2 linked regions of the Drosophila melanogaster genome follow. The protein of the gene in region 1 purifies or fractionates together with the protein of each later gene. This does not show direct contact. Each region holds a gene or a part of one and is shown on either strand. Other genes may lie near its edges. The genes, in order: CG2790 and CG42857.

Region 1 (8,822 bases):
TGCAGGTCCAAGCCGTCATTGTGGGCTGGGTGGAACTACGCATTAGCTGCCCATTTAAAGTTCAAAATAGCGAGTTCGATGTCTTGATATCGCGGCGTGCGTCTTTCGTTTTGCAGGCCAGCGTTCGATGTTCAAGTGTCGCGTCGCGGGTGAAACTAATTAAGTAAATTTAACACATCATACTGAACCACTACCCCTCCTGTCCAGAGGCACTAGGAGCAGGCACTAGTACGTAAGCAAAAACGAAAATTTAAATTTTAATATCGATGAGCAACAAGCTCGCAAATCTACAGAGACATACGTACTACTAAGAAGAACAAACAAAACCGTTAAGAATTATTTAATTCATTTATACTTACAGTTCTGTGGATCTCCTTAGATTTTGGATATGGTTTGATTTTGGTCTTAGGATTTTCATTAGATTTATTATCACGTTACAGTATGACTTAGATAATGTATTCATCGTGTAGGTTCTACAGCGTCTATTATTTATATTAATTGGGTACACAACACCATAAATAATTACATGAGTCGATTAATCCAAATTACAACCAAATTTTCCCAATTGGTAAACATTAAAATTTTTGCCAATACAACAAAATTTTAAATTCATGGTAATGCCAGCTGGAATATAATTCGATTTCCTTCTGATTATTTCAATTTCTGGCATAGAAACTCAATAGTCTTTATCTACTTAACCAAGGAAACAAAACAGTAAAACAATGCCTTTTCTTTTCATTATTCTACAAAAAATTTGGCTAAACAATTTTCATTTGGATGGATCTTAATATGGTTTACTTAAAGGTCTACTTTTGAATACTTTTCTAATATAGATAATTAGGTGAAATGTGTTGTCAAGTTTAGTAATAAGATGAGCTCTATAAGTGTAGTCGACGTTCAAATGGGATTTGCATTGAAAGGTTAGTATATTTTCCACATTAACGCACACGCGCTGACGCTCGTTAAAAACTAAGGAATACTACCAGTTATTAACTTATGTAGTTTGGTTTGGTTACTAATATCAACGTATTCAAGCTATGATTGGATAGTATGAGTTGGTAGGATAGTATGATGGACATGCCACGGAAATAGTGTTCTGAACATACTTTCAGCTTGGGCATATAGACCGTTAAAATATATGTTTCGAATTTTTCATGAAAACAATGTGTATCCAAAACAAAATTGATGTAAATAACAGAAACGATTAATTTCAACAGAATATTACTTAGTATACACATTCTTTGATATGCTTTAACTAAAATCTATGGTGTCTAAAGTACATTTTAAAACTGAAAATATTACTTTGAAAACTTCTGGGTTATGATTACGATTGTAATGTAACACTTCCATCAAAAACAATTTGCTACATTCTAAATACTTTTTGTGATAAGATTCTGCACCAGTTCATATGTTCTATTACGGCCCTTGAGTATTCTAGTATTTTTGTAAATAATCGTCTCCCCTTATAAGTTAATGTTATTGCGCTTCGTTTCAGTGTCTAGTCTGAGGGACTCTTTTGGACTCTATATCTTAGCCAACTAGTTACTGTCTATATGATGCATTGTAAATAAGTATGATGATGATATTAGTCCTAGTAGTTCACTCAGTTCTATTCGCCATTAAATCCACTCAGTTGATGGCTTTGATGCTCCAAGCTGCGCTTTAAATCGAAAATGGTATTCAGTATGAGCTGCTGCTTGCGGTTACTACCGCCTATTGCATGGCCCTTGGCCTCGTCAACGGTCACGTCTTGCATAGAGCTCTTGGCCGACACGGAGGCCAAAAGCTTAATTTGCGAACGCTCATTTGACTTGCACCGTCCGTTTGAATCTGTGTATCATTTGATTAAATACTTCACTTACAAACAAGGCGAATTACTTACCCAATTCGAAGTCGAAGTTTTTTTTTATGCGCTCGAACGATGAGCTACCCTTGTATACCTTGCGCTTTAAGGGCTCGCTGTGTGGGCAGTAAAAGTTGTTATTAATATTTAATTCGGCATGCAATGGGTTTTCCATTTTCGTATTCGATCCATATTTTCCATCCCTCGTATTCGATTGCGGCTGAGGCAAGTAGTTGTGATTGCCAATATCCTCTACAGCTATGCACTCCATCTCAGGATCACTGCCGTTGAAGCTGATCACCGTTGTCGTGGTAGAAGAAGTCACCATCATCGTGCGTCGCTTGCTCTTTGGACTCTCCTGAATACTCCTTCCATTTAGCTGAAGTTGTGGCGAGAGTGGAGCAGAGGGAGGGTTGCCTTTTATTTTTCGTGGTGGCAACTCTGGTGGAGCATTTTGATTCATAAAGTTGGTCAGATGCGTTTTGCGAGGACTGTAACGGGCAGGCTTGGGACTGTTTGGTGGCGAAGAAGCAGACGATGTCTCAAACTTGAGCATCTCTATGCGCTTATTAATGGCTGCTGCTAACTCATGCTCAAGAGGAGGAGAGTTAAGAACCAGAGTCTGTTTTTTGGAGTCCACCACTTCACTGTTTTTAAGCATTTCCACCCGCTTGTTAGCTAAGGGATTCACTCGTCTTGGGCTGGCGACAGGCGTGTCTCTGGGAATGCTAATGGTGATATGTTATTAATAACGAACCAAATATTTAAACTTTATCATTCCTTACCTCTGTAAGCTGTTCTTCATCGATTCCAGCAAAGACTCCGCTTCCATAATTAGTTGTTTATATTTCATATCAGCCTCCAAGTCTGCCTTAAGAAGTGCTTTTTCGCTTTCTGCGATGGTGAGTGTTGACTTTTTTTTTATGCTTCCAAAGATTAGCGAGTTGGAGCGGTTTGACAGGGGAGACGTTTTGTATATTCTTTAAACAAAATATTTTAAAATCCTATATATAATTATTAAATTGTTGTCTTATACCTCTCACTTGGACCCAGTAGATTGCGGCGCAAACAGACGGGCGTGCCACCCACACTTCGGGTGCCACGAGGCTCACGAAGAGGTGACGAAGAAGTCTTTTCGCGATTTTCACAACTCTTCTTACGTGTTTTAAGGAACCTCTTGCGTCGGCGCTGTTGGGAGCTTTCCCCCGTCTCCTGACCGCTCTTGCGTCGGGAACGGACTGATGCCTTTCGATTGAGCACCGGACTGATAGGGTGATTAGAATAGTAGTGACAGTTGCCCAGATTTCGTGACAGATCCTTGCGGTCAAGTTCCACCTCTTGCATGGATGAAGTGTCTATAAAGTCAATGTCCAACAACTCGTCTGTGTCACACTCATCACCCGCATCCTGTCCAGTATCTAGCTCCGAAGCACAGCAGTCCGTAAGGTCTGAATCACTGCTAGAAGTCGAATTAAATATAAGAAGGCAACTTAAGTTGACTTGGCGAGCACTGAACGACTCCAACTCACCTTAATATATCAGTTTCCTTTTCGTAAATGTAACTCTCGTCGAACTTCCCAATCATTTCATTAAGGGTGGCCTCGTCATCACTAAGAACGAAGGATGTAGTGGTAGCTCCAGTTCCACCACCAGCTGCCACGGGCGCTGAAGTTGTTGTAGTCTCGGCGTGGTCCAAGTGACGCCGCTTAATGGTATGTGGGGCATGCACATTTTCCAATTCAGTCGAAGTCGAGGAGCCCTCGGATTCATAAACAACTCCAGCCCCAGGTGCAACACCAGCCCCTCCCCCAACAATGTCTATATCAGCCTGTTTGGCTGCCTGGCTAGGAGTAGCTCTGCAGTTGGAGGTTGCTGCATAAGGGACTGGCTTCCCTGCTTTGTTTGCTATTGTTTTGGCCACCGGAACTTCCAGTTCATTGCTTGACTTAATGCCCGACGAGGTCGTGGAGGTAGTACTGGTCGCATCCAGATCCAAGCGTGTGGGGCCTGTCGTGCTAGGCAAGAGCTCTCCCGTGTTGTACCAGGGATTTGTTCTTATACGACAGCGCTGTCTCGGCGAGGGAGCTGCAAAAAAGGAGATGAGAGATGCTACTTCAGCCAAGTAGAGATTTTAAATGGGTTAATTGCTCAGTTTGCCAGCAGCCGGGCTAACAACACTGAAACTCACACTCAAAGAGCTTTGACTGCTGCCGCAGAGCTAGCGAACTAGGCGACGACTCCGGGCCATGAGTGGCAGTTGCGAAGTTGCTCTTGGGCAACGGATCCATAGGCGACATCTCCTCTATGCGGTTAAGGCCGAACTTGTACCGCTGGGCCTCGACGGCCAGCGAGTTGACGCTCTTCGGGAAATAGTGGGTTCCCGAGCGCATGTTAATGTAGTACTCAGGTGGATTGTAGTTGCTGGCGGCGCATGGCGATGTGCCATCTGTGGAGTAGCCCGTGGAATAAGCGCTTTCTGGCGAGGGCAAGCTGTGTGGCCGGGGTCCCGAAATAAAATTATTGCGCTGAATTCCTCGTGGAGTTCGAATACGCGAGCCGGTAAGTGAAGCGGGTGGAATAGGCGGTGTAGCTGTCAAATTATCCAGTGACTCGCCATGCTGAGCCGGTGCTAGCTTGGAGGGAAGCAGGCGACCGTAACGAACATGATTCTTGCTTTGCCTTGGCTCTTCCTTGTAGATTAGACGCACGGCACTTAAGTTTTCTGACTGCGGGCGCTGTTGTTCTGCAATGGGTGGTGCATGCCGAAGCAGCAAAGCGCCAACTTCCTCGTACTCCACCTCCTCCTCAGGTGGGATGTGGTATTCCCCATTTAAGGACTGCTCTCTAAAAATTGCTTGTTTGCCAGAAGAGGGCTCCTTGGATCCCGTTGACCAGGACAACGACGATATGGAGGACGAAGAGCAGTTTACCCTGGTGGGCGATTTCTCCGCATAGGTTTCCTTGCTATTGGGCACGCTTAAGTGGTGCGACGGCTGCTGGAGCGGTTGATGCGGCTGATAGCAGTGCGGAGCGTGAAGCAAATTGTCCGACTTGGGCGAGGCTATGACGTAGGAATCTTCATCTGGGGATTGCCAGCCATATCGACGACTGGGTGGCTACGAAAATATGATCGACGTAAGCATTTGTATATTCCTAGGAAGGAAGCTACTTACGTGACACTGGATGGGGGAGACCTCGCGCCTCCGCACCGGACTGGCGATGCTGTGGCTTCCGCTACTGGTCAGGACCGGGCTAGTTAGGTTGCTGCCCTGTGTTGGTAAGGTGCCCGCCTTCTTCCCCACGCAAGAACTGCCTGCGTCCACGGTCCCTTGCTTGTGTTTACTGCCCTTCTTCCGCGGACGCACAATATGCGTCTCCATCCAGGAGCGCAGCTTGGATCCAAACATAGTGGTATTCTAGTCTTAGCCGATGTGGACGGACGGTAATTCCTGAAAGGGGAGTTCATTAAGCTGGCTGCAATTCAGCTGCAACAATGAAGAGGAGTGGACTCCTGGGACCACTTTGCGCTGATAAGGAAATCCATTTACTACGGCACAAAAGCCGAATGGCTTTTCAGTAGGGACACATTTTCTATAGTTTGGGTGGGAGGCTGTGCTGGAATTTTATGCGAAATTACCTTACTTGCAAATGTGGCAGACAACGTTGTCCTCATATCCTTTGCGCCTTCTTTTATTTTGGCGCCCACACACACACCCGCACAAGAGATGAAAGGGCAATGGTAAATCTACACCAGAACACACACGGACTTCGTCGGCTTTCTATACTTGTGTTTGTTTGTTTTTTGTTGACGGTTATTTTTGGCCGTTATTCATTACTTCGCGCCGAGTACCGACGCACCCAATGTTGTGGGGGTTGTTCGTAAGCAGAGATGCTTCAAGGACTCCACTCCCGCACTCACTCGACGTAAGTATGTGTGTGTATGTGAAGGCCTGTCTGTGTGTTACAGCCCACGGTTGTAAATCCCACGTAACTGTAAATTTTATGTCAAGCTATTTTCCTTTTCGTATGCAGACTCAAATGCTAAACGACATTTTGGCACTTTGCTTGTATCGTTATGGGTGATTGGCAATAGTCGAGCTTCGATTCCAGTCGATTATTATTTAGTTTATGCAAATTATGTATAAATGCTTCGGAAACTAAGGGAAAAAAGCACCGTTACGTCCTGGGAAAAACTACAACTTCTGATGTGTTTAACTGCTGCTTTTCACAGGAACCTTTCCGATTTTATTTTTTTTCTCTGCCTGTGTATAGGTATGCGATGTGTGAGCTTCGGTGGTAGTGAGAAAAGCATGCGGCAGAATTTAGTCAACTAAGGATGCGCGGACACGGATGAAAAGAAACGTCCGTCGCCGTCGAAAGTAAAAAAGCTAATGACGGGATGCGCAGTTACGTATGACTGCTAGGAGATGCCACTTGCAGTTTAGCCACTTAACTGGGTAACTGTAATTTCAAGACCTTGTAAGAATAGGCTTCTATTGTTTTCCTAACGTTTTTTTCAGCTATTACAATAAACGCAAAACGCTCTCAGCCCAAAAGTAAGCTACTTTGCAAGATATTTACGTTCCCCTTCCAGCGCTTTGCAGCACTGACAACGCATCTGTGAGCGCCAGCTGTCTTTCCGCCCATCTGGCAACTCTATCAAAATTATTTGTTGTTCTAAGAAACATGCGTTGCTATTACGAGGAGCTCGAGCTCCAAAGAAACGCCAACGATGGGGACATCAAGAGTGCGTACCGTAAGATGGCCCTGCGCTGGCACCCGGACAAGAATCCCGACCGACTGGCGGAGGCCAAAGAGCGCTTCCAGCTGATCCAGCAAGCGTATGAAGTTCTGTCTGATCCTCAGGAACGGTCTTGGTACGACAACCATCGCGAGCAGATCTTGCGCGGCAAGAACTCCGATTATGCGGAGAACTGCCTGGACGTGTTCCAGTTCTTCACGAGCTCCTGTTACAAGGGCTATGGCGACAATGAGCACGGCTTTTACCGCGTGTACACCGATGTCTTCGTCCAAATCGCCTCGGAGGACTTAGAGTTCATGGACAAGGACGACCGGTTGGGGATGGCGCCTGACTTTGGTCATTCAAACAGTAGTTACGAAGATGTGGTGGGTCCGTTCTACGCCTTTTGGCAGGCATACAGTACCCGGAAGACCTACGACTGGCTGTGTCCCTACGATGTTCGCGAAATAAAAGAGCGCTTTATCCTACGCAAGGTGGAGAAGGAGATGAAAAAGATCGTTCAGGCTGCCCGCAAGGAACGCAACGAAGAGGTGGGCGATGAATTCCCTTTTTTTTCTTCCGAGACACATTTTACTTACCTCATTTACTTAGGTTCGCAACTTAGTCAACTTTGTGCGAAAAAGGGATCCCAGAGTGCAGGCCTACAGGCGCATGCTTGAGGAACGCGTCGAGGCCAATCGACTTAAGCAGGAGGAGAAGCGCAAAGAGCAGTTAAGGAAGCGCCAGGAAGAACTGGCAGCCGTCAGGAAAAATAATGTCTTTAACGAGGGCTACGAGGAGCAGCTAAAGCAGTTAGAGCAGCAGTACGATAGCAAGTCAGAAGATTACACGGATGAAGACGAGAACGACGACGATGGCGAGGACTTTGACCATGAAGGCGGCCAGGAAGCCGAGGAGTACGAAGTGGAGTATGTAGACGATCTTTACTGCGTGGCATGCAACAAGACATTTAAAAACGCCAAGGCGCGTGCTAATCACGAAGAAAGCAAGAAGCATAATGAAAATGTCGACCGGCTGTGTCAGGAAATGGAGGAAGAAGAGGACGCTTTCCACAATGAACCCCATGAAGACAGTTTAATGGGCGTACAGGAATCGCTGGAAGAATTGCAAGTCTCTGAGGATCAGATATCTTTCGACGGGGTTCCAAGCGAAGAAGAATCTTCGCTAGCCAAACGAACCAAAAAAAACAAAAAGGCAAGGAAGTCAGCTGTCAAGCAAGCGCAGGCGGAAGGCAGTGACGAACCAGATGAGCCAATAGAAAAGAAGGCAATCAAGAGCGAGTCAGAGGATGAAGACTGGAGTAAAGGCAAAAAAGCGAGCAAAAAGAGTAAAAGCAAAAAGACGACGACTAGGAAGGTTAAGCTATTAGAGCAAACTGTTTCGGAACCGAATACAAAGGAGGCAACAGTGGCTCCCAAAAGCGGAGATGAGGACCTCGACCCGACCAAGTCGCAACACACTTGTGTTACCTGTAGGCTTGTCTTTGACTCCAAGAACAAGCTGTTTGCCCACCTAAAGAAGACGAACCATGGTGTCTACATACCTAAGGCAAAGCCTAATGTTGAGGGCAAGCCTCCTGGCAAAGCTAAGGGCAAGCGCAACAAGTAGGGTCGTATAGATATCCACCCACACCTTGTATCTATACTGTAGAATGTTAAAAGTTTATTTATGCTAATGATAAATTTAATTCGAGAATGAAGTTAAGTATGCTCGCTCCAAGTCAGATAGTGTTCTTATTGTATTCAAAGGCAGCTACGGAATACAGACCAGTTTACTGCCCGCCTCCACGCGTCTGCGAACTCGAGTTCGCATATTGGAAGACTCTGCCTTTAGGCTTATACCGGCGGCAGTAAATGTTAGGAGTACCCCAATGATTCCGCAGTAGAATGAAACTCCTGTAAGGATTAAGTTTAGTAAGTTTCTAAGAAAAGTTTCAAAGAATTACCTATGCTACAGTCGGCGGGGTAAAAGGGTTCGGCATCCATGCCGCATAGACGTTGAATCCGGTTCGCTCGCCATCCCATCGGATGCAGAAATAGACCCAACATCATACATATTCCTATAAACAATGCAAACTTAAATGCTGCGAGGATATCACAGTAATGGTTGCTTACCTGCTACGACCTGGGCGCAGGCCGTCATGTTGTGTATGCTCTTGCCACAGGCCGACTGGCGGCAGCAGGTGATCAGGGTCAGGATCACCGTTACAGAGAGTAG
Region 2 (7,483 bases), on another chromosome or scaffold:
ATGCCATAAATCAACACCCACCCCGTCCATCGCCATGGAGAGCTATCGATTAGCCGGGCTCCAACCTTCGGATTGGAGGCGTCAGGCAAATGGCATGGGCCAGGAGGGTGACACGAGGATTGGGGGGCAGGCGGATTGAGCCATGAGGCGTGCTGCTGCAATGAGTGCGACCACCAAAACCTGGACAGGTAGTTCTCCTCGCACCGTGGGCCTCAAATTTATGAACTTGACTTTCGGTTAGCTAACAGCCATCAGCCAACGTTGGGTGGCCCCTCCATCCGGCCCAGGCCTCTCGTCATTGGTTCCGGCCAGACACGAACGGGTATGAAAAGGTTCGCATGACTGCAGGAAATTACCATAATTTCAATTTAACAAATTAAACGAATTCCGTTCTGAGCTGGAGAAAAAAAAGAGAGCAGCGTCGGCCTCCAAAAGAGTTAAGGTTTAAGAAGTCCTTGCTTTGGGAGCTGAAGATTTTTACAGCTGATAAATGTGGATGAATTCACCTGACAAAATGGGTGGAAAACTACTTGCCGGCGGAGGGGGAACTTTTTTATTTCAATTACTTGATGGAAAAGATGTGTAATTTGTATTTACACAAAAATTGCAGGCACTGCTAAATTACTATTAAAAATATAACCGTGCCAAAAATATTTTTTAACGGTCAATCAAGTTTTTGATTTGCATTCAAAAACAATAGGGACTAAAATTCCAATAAGAAACCATTGTAAAGGTGTTAACCCTATTTTAGAGATTTCATTTATCGAACTTTTTTGAGGTTACGCAAAAAAGTGGCCCGTTTTCAAGACTATCGAAGTGACAGAGAACATTTCGCAGGGAGTTGCATTTGCTAAAGACCTGCCAGCGATTAACACGATGGATCCACTCCGCCGTAATCCTCTTTTGGAAATTACCAAATGTGAGATGTGCTCCAATTTGGTATACCATTTTCCGACTGGATTGTGTGCCCGCTGCTTAACTCTTTGGGCCGGAAAGAAACCAATGGACGGACTGAGACTGACCGTGGACCAATCGAAGGCTTTCCTTGTGAACATTGCTCGCTGTTCGGATGCCCAGGATAAGAGCCATATGGACCCCACCTTTCAACGCGTGATTGCCGAGGTGAGATTGCAGCGCCAACAGAAACTTGAGCTGTTCCAGAAGATTCGCCAGCAGTTACAGCTTTCCGTACTCACCGGTTCCTTCTATGACAAAAATCCAAAATACGAAGTCAATGAGGACTATTGGAATATACCGGATATCGTCGATGCAGACATGCTGATGTTTCAGAAAAATATTGACCTGCTTGCAGATATACCCACCATTTCGTCAGAGATCAATGACGAAAATAAATACAATAAGCGCGAAAATAGAAAACGAAATTTGTAGCTGCTATCCACTTTTAATACAAAAGAAAGTACAAATATTTCTGAGAAATATACATATAAATGATAACGTGATATAATAAAGTATTTATACACCTTTTGGTAAATTGTAAACTTTTTTTTTCCAAAAACTGAAAGCTGTTTATGTTTATGTTTATGTGATAATGGGTCATTACCAATTTGACCGAAGGTCAATTCCTCACCAGGGAATCGTGGAAAGGATTGAATCGGATGCCTTGTAATTGGTACTTTTAGCCGGTGTAATAAATTACCCAAAATCCGGGCAGCGACCAAGTCGAATCCAATTGAGCAAATGTGATTGCCAGGTCATCATTACCATCGTCCATTGCCCATCGTCCATCGTCCATTGCCCATCAGATATCAAGCTCCGACTGTCTCCAGGGGCTCATGGACATTTGGCTAATGAAAATGTTTATTCAAATTTACGTCAATGGATGTGTTTACACGAATGACCATCAATCTACATAAATAAACCCAAGTGCTGGGCGAGATATTATATGTATGTGTGCGTGTACCATGGAATGTCGCACAGTGTATTGTTCTTTGCCCGGCATTGTTCAACAATTTGTTTAATGAGAAAACTAATAAATCAAATGCGCCGTCAATTACACTCGAATTTATTCCGGGAAGTCCAGGGCAAGGGATCCACTTGGATTGTGGATCAATAGATCGATTTATTTATTGATGGAGTCGTTTTGGGAACAAGCTTATATGAGTTAACTTATCCTATGTAAGCAATTATATATATATCAAATTTAACAAATATTTTATAACATAGTAAAAATCAATAAGCATTCCTTTCTGATAACCATTTGGGTGACACATGCTCATCCTGAACACGGGCTGCTGGCCAAAATGATGTGGATTTGATGGCTTAAATACCAGATGGCCAAAGTCCAAGAGCCTGTGAATGTCGCCGCATCCTGCTAAGTGGCAGGATGAGAGGCCAGACGGAGAGGACATTAGTCAAGTGCAACAGCTTTCAAATAAACATAAATTGAGGATGCTACGCTGTGGCGGAGCACGGAGCACGAGGTGGCACTGGGCAAACCGGGGGGGGTGCACTGGAAAGTGGAAATTGGGGAGAGTGGGGGAATACTCGGGCAGGACTTTGCAACAGCATCTCCAGCTCCTTTCAGCCGCCTGGTGTCGTAATTAAAGGCAGTCGCGCAATAACGAAGAGAAATGCCCGTTGCCAACGAGCGGAGGATGCGCTTCTAATTTATTTGTTTTCCTCACTTGACTTTTATTTACACGGGCATTGGCATGTGAGTGGCATGGAGTGGAACGGCAAGGAGGAACGGAGTAGTTGGGTGACTCTTGGCTGCTTTTCGGGTGGCTTTCGAGGTGGCGCAGAAGGAGAGCTATTGCAACATCCTGACGCCGTTTGTTACCTTTTGTTTGTGAAAGTTCTCCGTGCGCGCCTTTTCGGGGCCAGGGCAAAGTGCCAAATTGGCCTAATGGCGTTAATGCGAATACGAGTCGAGACTAAACCAACGACCAACCGAACAACCAACCAACCAACCAACCAACCAACCAGGCCCACATCAAAGGTCGTTTACACAGCTACACAGGATTCGGTACCAGCTTTCAACTTCGAATGCAGATGCACTTGAAAACTGGGTGCAGTTGCCAAGCCAGCGTTATATGTATACCCCACTCCCACATCCACATTCATGTCCACTTTCCACTTTCCACTCACAATGCAATGCAAATCAAAGCACTTAAAAAGTTGAGCAATTTGGCAACGAATGCTAATGAATGTTGATAACATTCCTAGGGATGCATTCGGATTTCGGATTTCATTTAAGTTTAAATTCCGCAGCCCTGGCATCTTCATGAAATACCAAAATTAATTGGCTTATCGAAAATGGCGAAAACAATGCTGCCAGTGTCAAAAAAAACAGATAGCTGCACAAGGTCTTACTATTCGTCACGTGTTGCAGTTTGCTAGATTATTTAAGAAAATCATTTTAGAAATGCCGCCTTTTTCCACCTGTTCTTTGTGCAACGTAAGAACCAGGAAGATGGCAAAGGATCCTGTGACCTTAAAGCTAATCTACGTGTGTCCAGTATGAAAGCAAGTTACTAGTTATGTGAAAATTGTAAACTTATGTTAAATCTTGCAGATATGCTTTAAGAGCACGTTTCAGGAAAAAAAACAGCTAATTAAAGCTGAGAATCTTAAAAAGAACGGAGTTGCCAAACAGCCGAAAATGAAAAGGATCACGTGCCAGGATAAAAGCGAAAGGATAGCAAAGAAAGCAGTTGATCAATGTGTGGAAACTGAGAAGAAGGAAAAGAAAATGCGCCCTCTCAAAAGCTACAATCCACGTGCAATTGATCCACCTAAGGTGCATCGTATGCCGACTATCACACCTTTACTCATGCAAACTGTGATAATTAAGAATCGGAAGTATGTGGCCATTAGTGAGACAGCCGACAACGAGTGATATGTACTTGGCCTGATTTTTCAGTTTTATAAGGCAGCGACTGGTATCTAATTAAACTAGTTTCGACATATGCTCATTGCCATCTATTGAAGCGCTTAATAAAAAGCACAAAACGAAATTGGTAGACTCTTTTAAAGTTGATTTCGACACATATATGTATGTACATTGTATTAAAACCCACTATTGCATTTAAATAAGTGCACTAGATGCCGCGACCCGTATTTAGTTCTAAATTTGTTATGGCTGTTGCCACTTTTGTTGCACTGGATGTGCGTGATGTGGCGGTATTTGTTTATGTACCATTTTCGCATCCGCTTTGCATGGAAGTTGCTGCAGTTGCAGTTTGGCCACGCCCACTGCGTAACCCGATGCGATACGAAAATGGCCGCCCATCTTTTTGTACCGCTTTCGTTTCGCATGTGCGTGATTTTCGAACATTTCCCGGGAGCCCATTAAACTTTTAATGGAATTTTCATAATCATGTTTAAAGTTGCGAAGGTACGTGGAAAGTTTTGCATTATTGGTATTGATTTAAAGCCAAGGGGAATCAATTTTCATGGTTACTTTCACTGTCTGCCTCCTCAGGCTCTTCAAATTAAATACAAATCATGCATTTGTCGCATGCTTCGAGTATTGGTAAACCCTACTTGCCGTACTCACGCCTAAATTACCATACCAATTAAGCGTGTTTATCGAAGCTTATAAACCACAATAAAATTAGTCGCATTTCCATCGATCCACGGTAAGCACACACAATCGCAATGTTGGGTGATCTAGTGGACTTTTTGGGCAAATCCCCACCCGATCCTGTGCGCCTGCCACTCCTGGCCAGCCACAAGCCCGTCCTGATGGTATTGGCCACCTACCTGTTCTTCGTAAAGATAGCGGGTCCAAAGATCATGCGGAATCGAAAGCCCTTTGACCTTCGCGGTCTGATAAAGGCGTACAACATCATGCAGATCGTGTACAATGTCATCATGTGCTTTTTTGTGAGTTTCCCCCCAAAAATATCAACCATCACGGATTGTTTAATATAGAAATTCCACTTTACAGGCTGTCCACTTCATGCTGGGACCCGGAGACTATAACTTTAAGTGCATCAAGAACCTGCCGCCGGATCATGAGTACAAGACCTGGGAGCGCTGGCTTACGTACTCGTACTTCTTCAATAAGCTGCTCGATCTGCTGGAGACGGTCTTCTTTGTGCTGCGAAAGAAGGATCGCCAGATATCCTTTCTGCACGTCTTCCATCACATGTACATGCTGTACTTCAGCTTTATGTATCTGTACTACTACGGATACGGTGGTCATGGGTTCTTTATGTGCTTCTTCAACGTCGTCGTGCACATCATGATGTACAGCTACTACTATCAGTCGTCGCTCAATCGCGATTCGAAGGGCGATCTGTGGTGGAAGAAGTACATCACTATCGTTCAGCTCATCCAGTTTGGAATCGTTCTGGGGCATAGTATCTACACCCTAAAGCAACCGGACTGTCCATCAGCCCGGTTCTCGGCGACCTGTGCCGGCAGCATCTCCGTTGTGTTCATCATCTTATTTAGCAACTTCTATTTTCATGCCTATATTCGACCCAAGAAAAGGAAACAGAAAAACATCTAAGCTAGAGCCAGTCATCAGATTTGTTCTGTGCAGCATTTAGATCTCTATAGAGAAACCTATTTTAATTTTAGAGCTAATAAAAAACATAAAGATGTATTTGAATTGTATATCTGTTTACTAGTAATGACTGATATTCGGATGAATATTATGATGGAAAAGGTGGAATAACACAAGACTTTGCCCGAAATTGTATGCTATTACTACGAAAATATCAATATCAAACAAAGTGTAAGTAAACTTCATTAGAAGTGACACGGTTAGAATTATATAAAATCGATTGATCTTAGAATACGTTAAAGTTATTACGTCAAAAGGCATTAAAAACTGGACTGCATTTAAAACTGGACTACATTAAAAACTAAATACGAATGCCATTATTTTACCTTTCGTAACCAGGGGACAGTGGATGTTCAACATATCCGGCATTCCAAGCGATGGAAACCTATTTTCCTTACTTTGTGACCGCAATACCCTCTTATATGGTCGGCGTAATAGGTTTTACTTACGTATGTAGGTATTTGTATAATAGAAACACACACTTAAATCAGCCTCGAAAACGAGCAGATTACCATTTCTCGGTTCTCGGCCGGAGTCCACATCAGTCGCTATTCCACCGACGTCGATAACACTTAGATATCCGACATGTTTGCCCATATGCTGGACTTCCTGAATCGATCGCCACCGGATCCTGTGCGTCTTCCGTTGACCAGCAGCCACTGGCCGGTGTTGACCATCCTTGGAATCTATCTAGTCTTCATAAAAATAGTGGGTCCTTGGTTTATGCAGAATCAAAAGCCCTACAATCTGGATAGAGCTATCAAGATCTACAACATCGTGCAAATCGCATACAATGTCATTTTGTTAATATTTGTAAGTAATGCTCTTTTTTTTAACAAAAATATATTAATATTCATTATATGTATCTCCAAATTTAAAGAGTGTGCACTTCATGCTTGGTCCTGGCAACTATAACTTCAGTTGCATATCCAATCTGCCGTTGGATCATGAGTACAAGAACTGGGAGCGTTGGCTCAGTTACTCCTACTTCTTCAACAAGCTCATGGATCTGCTGGAGACTGTGTTCTTTATATTCAGAAAGAAGTATCGCCAGATATCGTTCCTGCACGTTTTCCACCACGTATACATGGTGTACATAGGCTTCTTGTACATGTATTATTATGGATACGGCGGCCATGGATTCTTCTTGATCACCTTCAACGTGGTGGTGCACACCATGATGTACACCTACTACTACCAGTCGTCCCTCAATCGGAACTCGGGTGGCGATCTCTGGTGGAAGAAATACATCACAGTCGTTCAGCTTGTCCAATTTGTTATTATATTCTCGCACAGCGTCTATATCCTCCGGCAAACTGATTGTCAAACATCACGATTATCGGCAACTTGGGGCTCACTGATATCTGTAGTATTTATAATTCTATTTAGTAACTTCTACGTTCGCACCTACATTCTTCCCAAGAAAACGAAATCGGCGGTGGGCCGATGAGCAAAACTAATTAAGATTTAATATCACTGTTCCTTACATTAATCAATGTCATTAATAAATGCTTTTGATACAACAAATTCATTTGTTTTATATCATTGTATATATCGTATATTATACATAGATATATATTTTACATAAAGCAATGGGAGATATTTGTTGGTTTCTAGAACTCTCTATCCACTCGACTGCTTAATGCTATTAAATATGCAAAATACCCCTTTAATTGGGTCTCGCCAGTATTTTATAAATGTAGAACACTTTTTTTGTTGTATTGACAATAATGTCAAAAGGAGTAATTTTGTAAATAATGGCACTGCTGATTAATAAAATGTTGAAAATAAAAACGTAGTTGAACTGTTACTTATATTGTATTTAGTTCGATTTGCAAAGCTTTAAGTATTCAAGTTGAAGGTTGATAGTGGGTTAAACATACCGGAAATTTGCACTAATGTAATTAGCAAATAGGTAATAGTATAGTGGCTATCGTGAAAGAAAGA

What was found.
Region 2: the proteins of CG2790 (region 1) and CG42857 purify together in Drosophila melanogaster (affinity purification with mass spectrometry, with the first as the bait; one large-scale study listed by BioGRID). This does not show direct contact.

The regions. Positions count from the first base shown.
Region 1 is NT_033778.4:24,946,061-24,954,882, reverse strand, and holds CG2790 (uncharacterized protein), read left to right. Parts: upstream 1-6,504; 5' UTR 6,505-6,529; coding exon 6,530-7,135; intron 7,136-7,196; coding exon 7,197-8,213; 3' UTR 8,214-8,322; downstream 8,323-8,822. Other genes in the region: CG12851 (uncharacterized protein), read right to left, coding at 1,610-1,830, 1,883-2,571, 2,629-2,823, 2,880-3,302, 3,373-3,928, 4,032-4,959, 5,017-5,250; CG3770 (uncharacterized protein), read right to left, coding at 8,358-8,500, 8,551-8,664, 8,720-8,822.
Region 2 is NT_033777.3:9,817,005-9,824,487, reverse strand, and holds CG42857 (uncharacterized protein), read left to right. Parts: upstream 1-3,296; 5' UTR 3,297-3,385; coding exon 3,386-3,478; intron 3,479-3,535; coding exon 3,536-3,859; 3' UTR 3,860-3,974; downstream 3,975-7,483. Other genes in the region: CG34302 (uncharacterized protein), read left to right, coding at 877-1,389; CG9458 (uncharacterized protein), read left to right, coding at 4,621-4,848, 4,913-5,479; CG9459 (uncharacterized protein), read left to right, coding at 6,122-6,349, 6,417-6,986.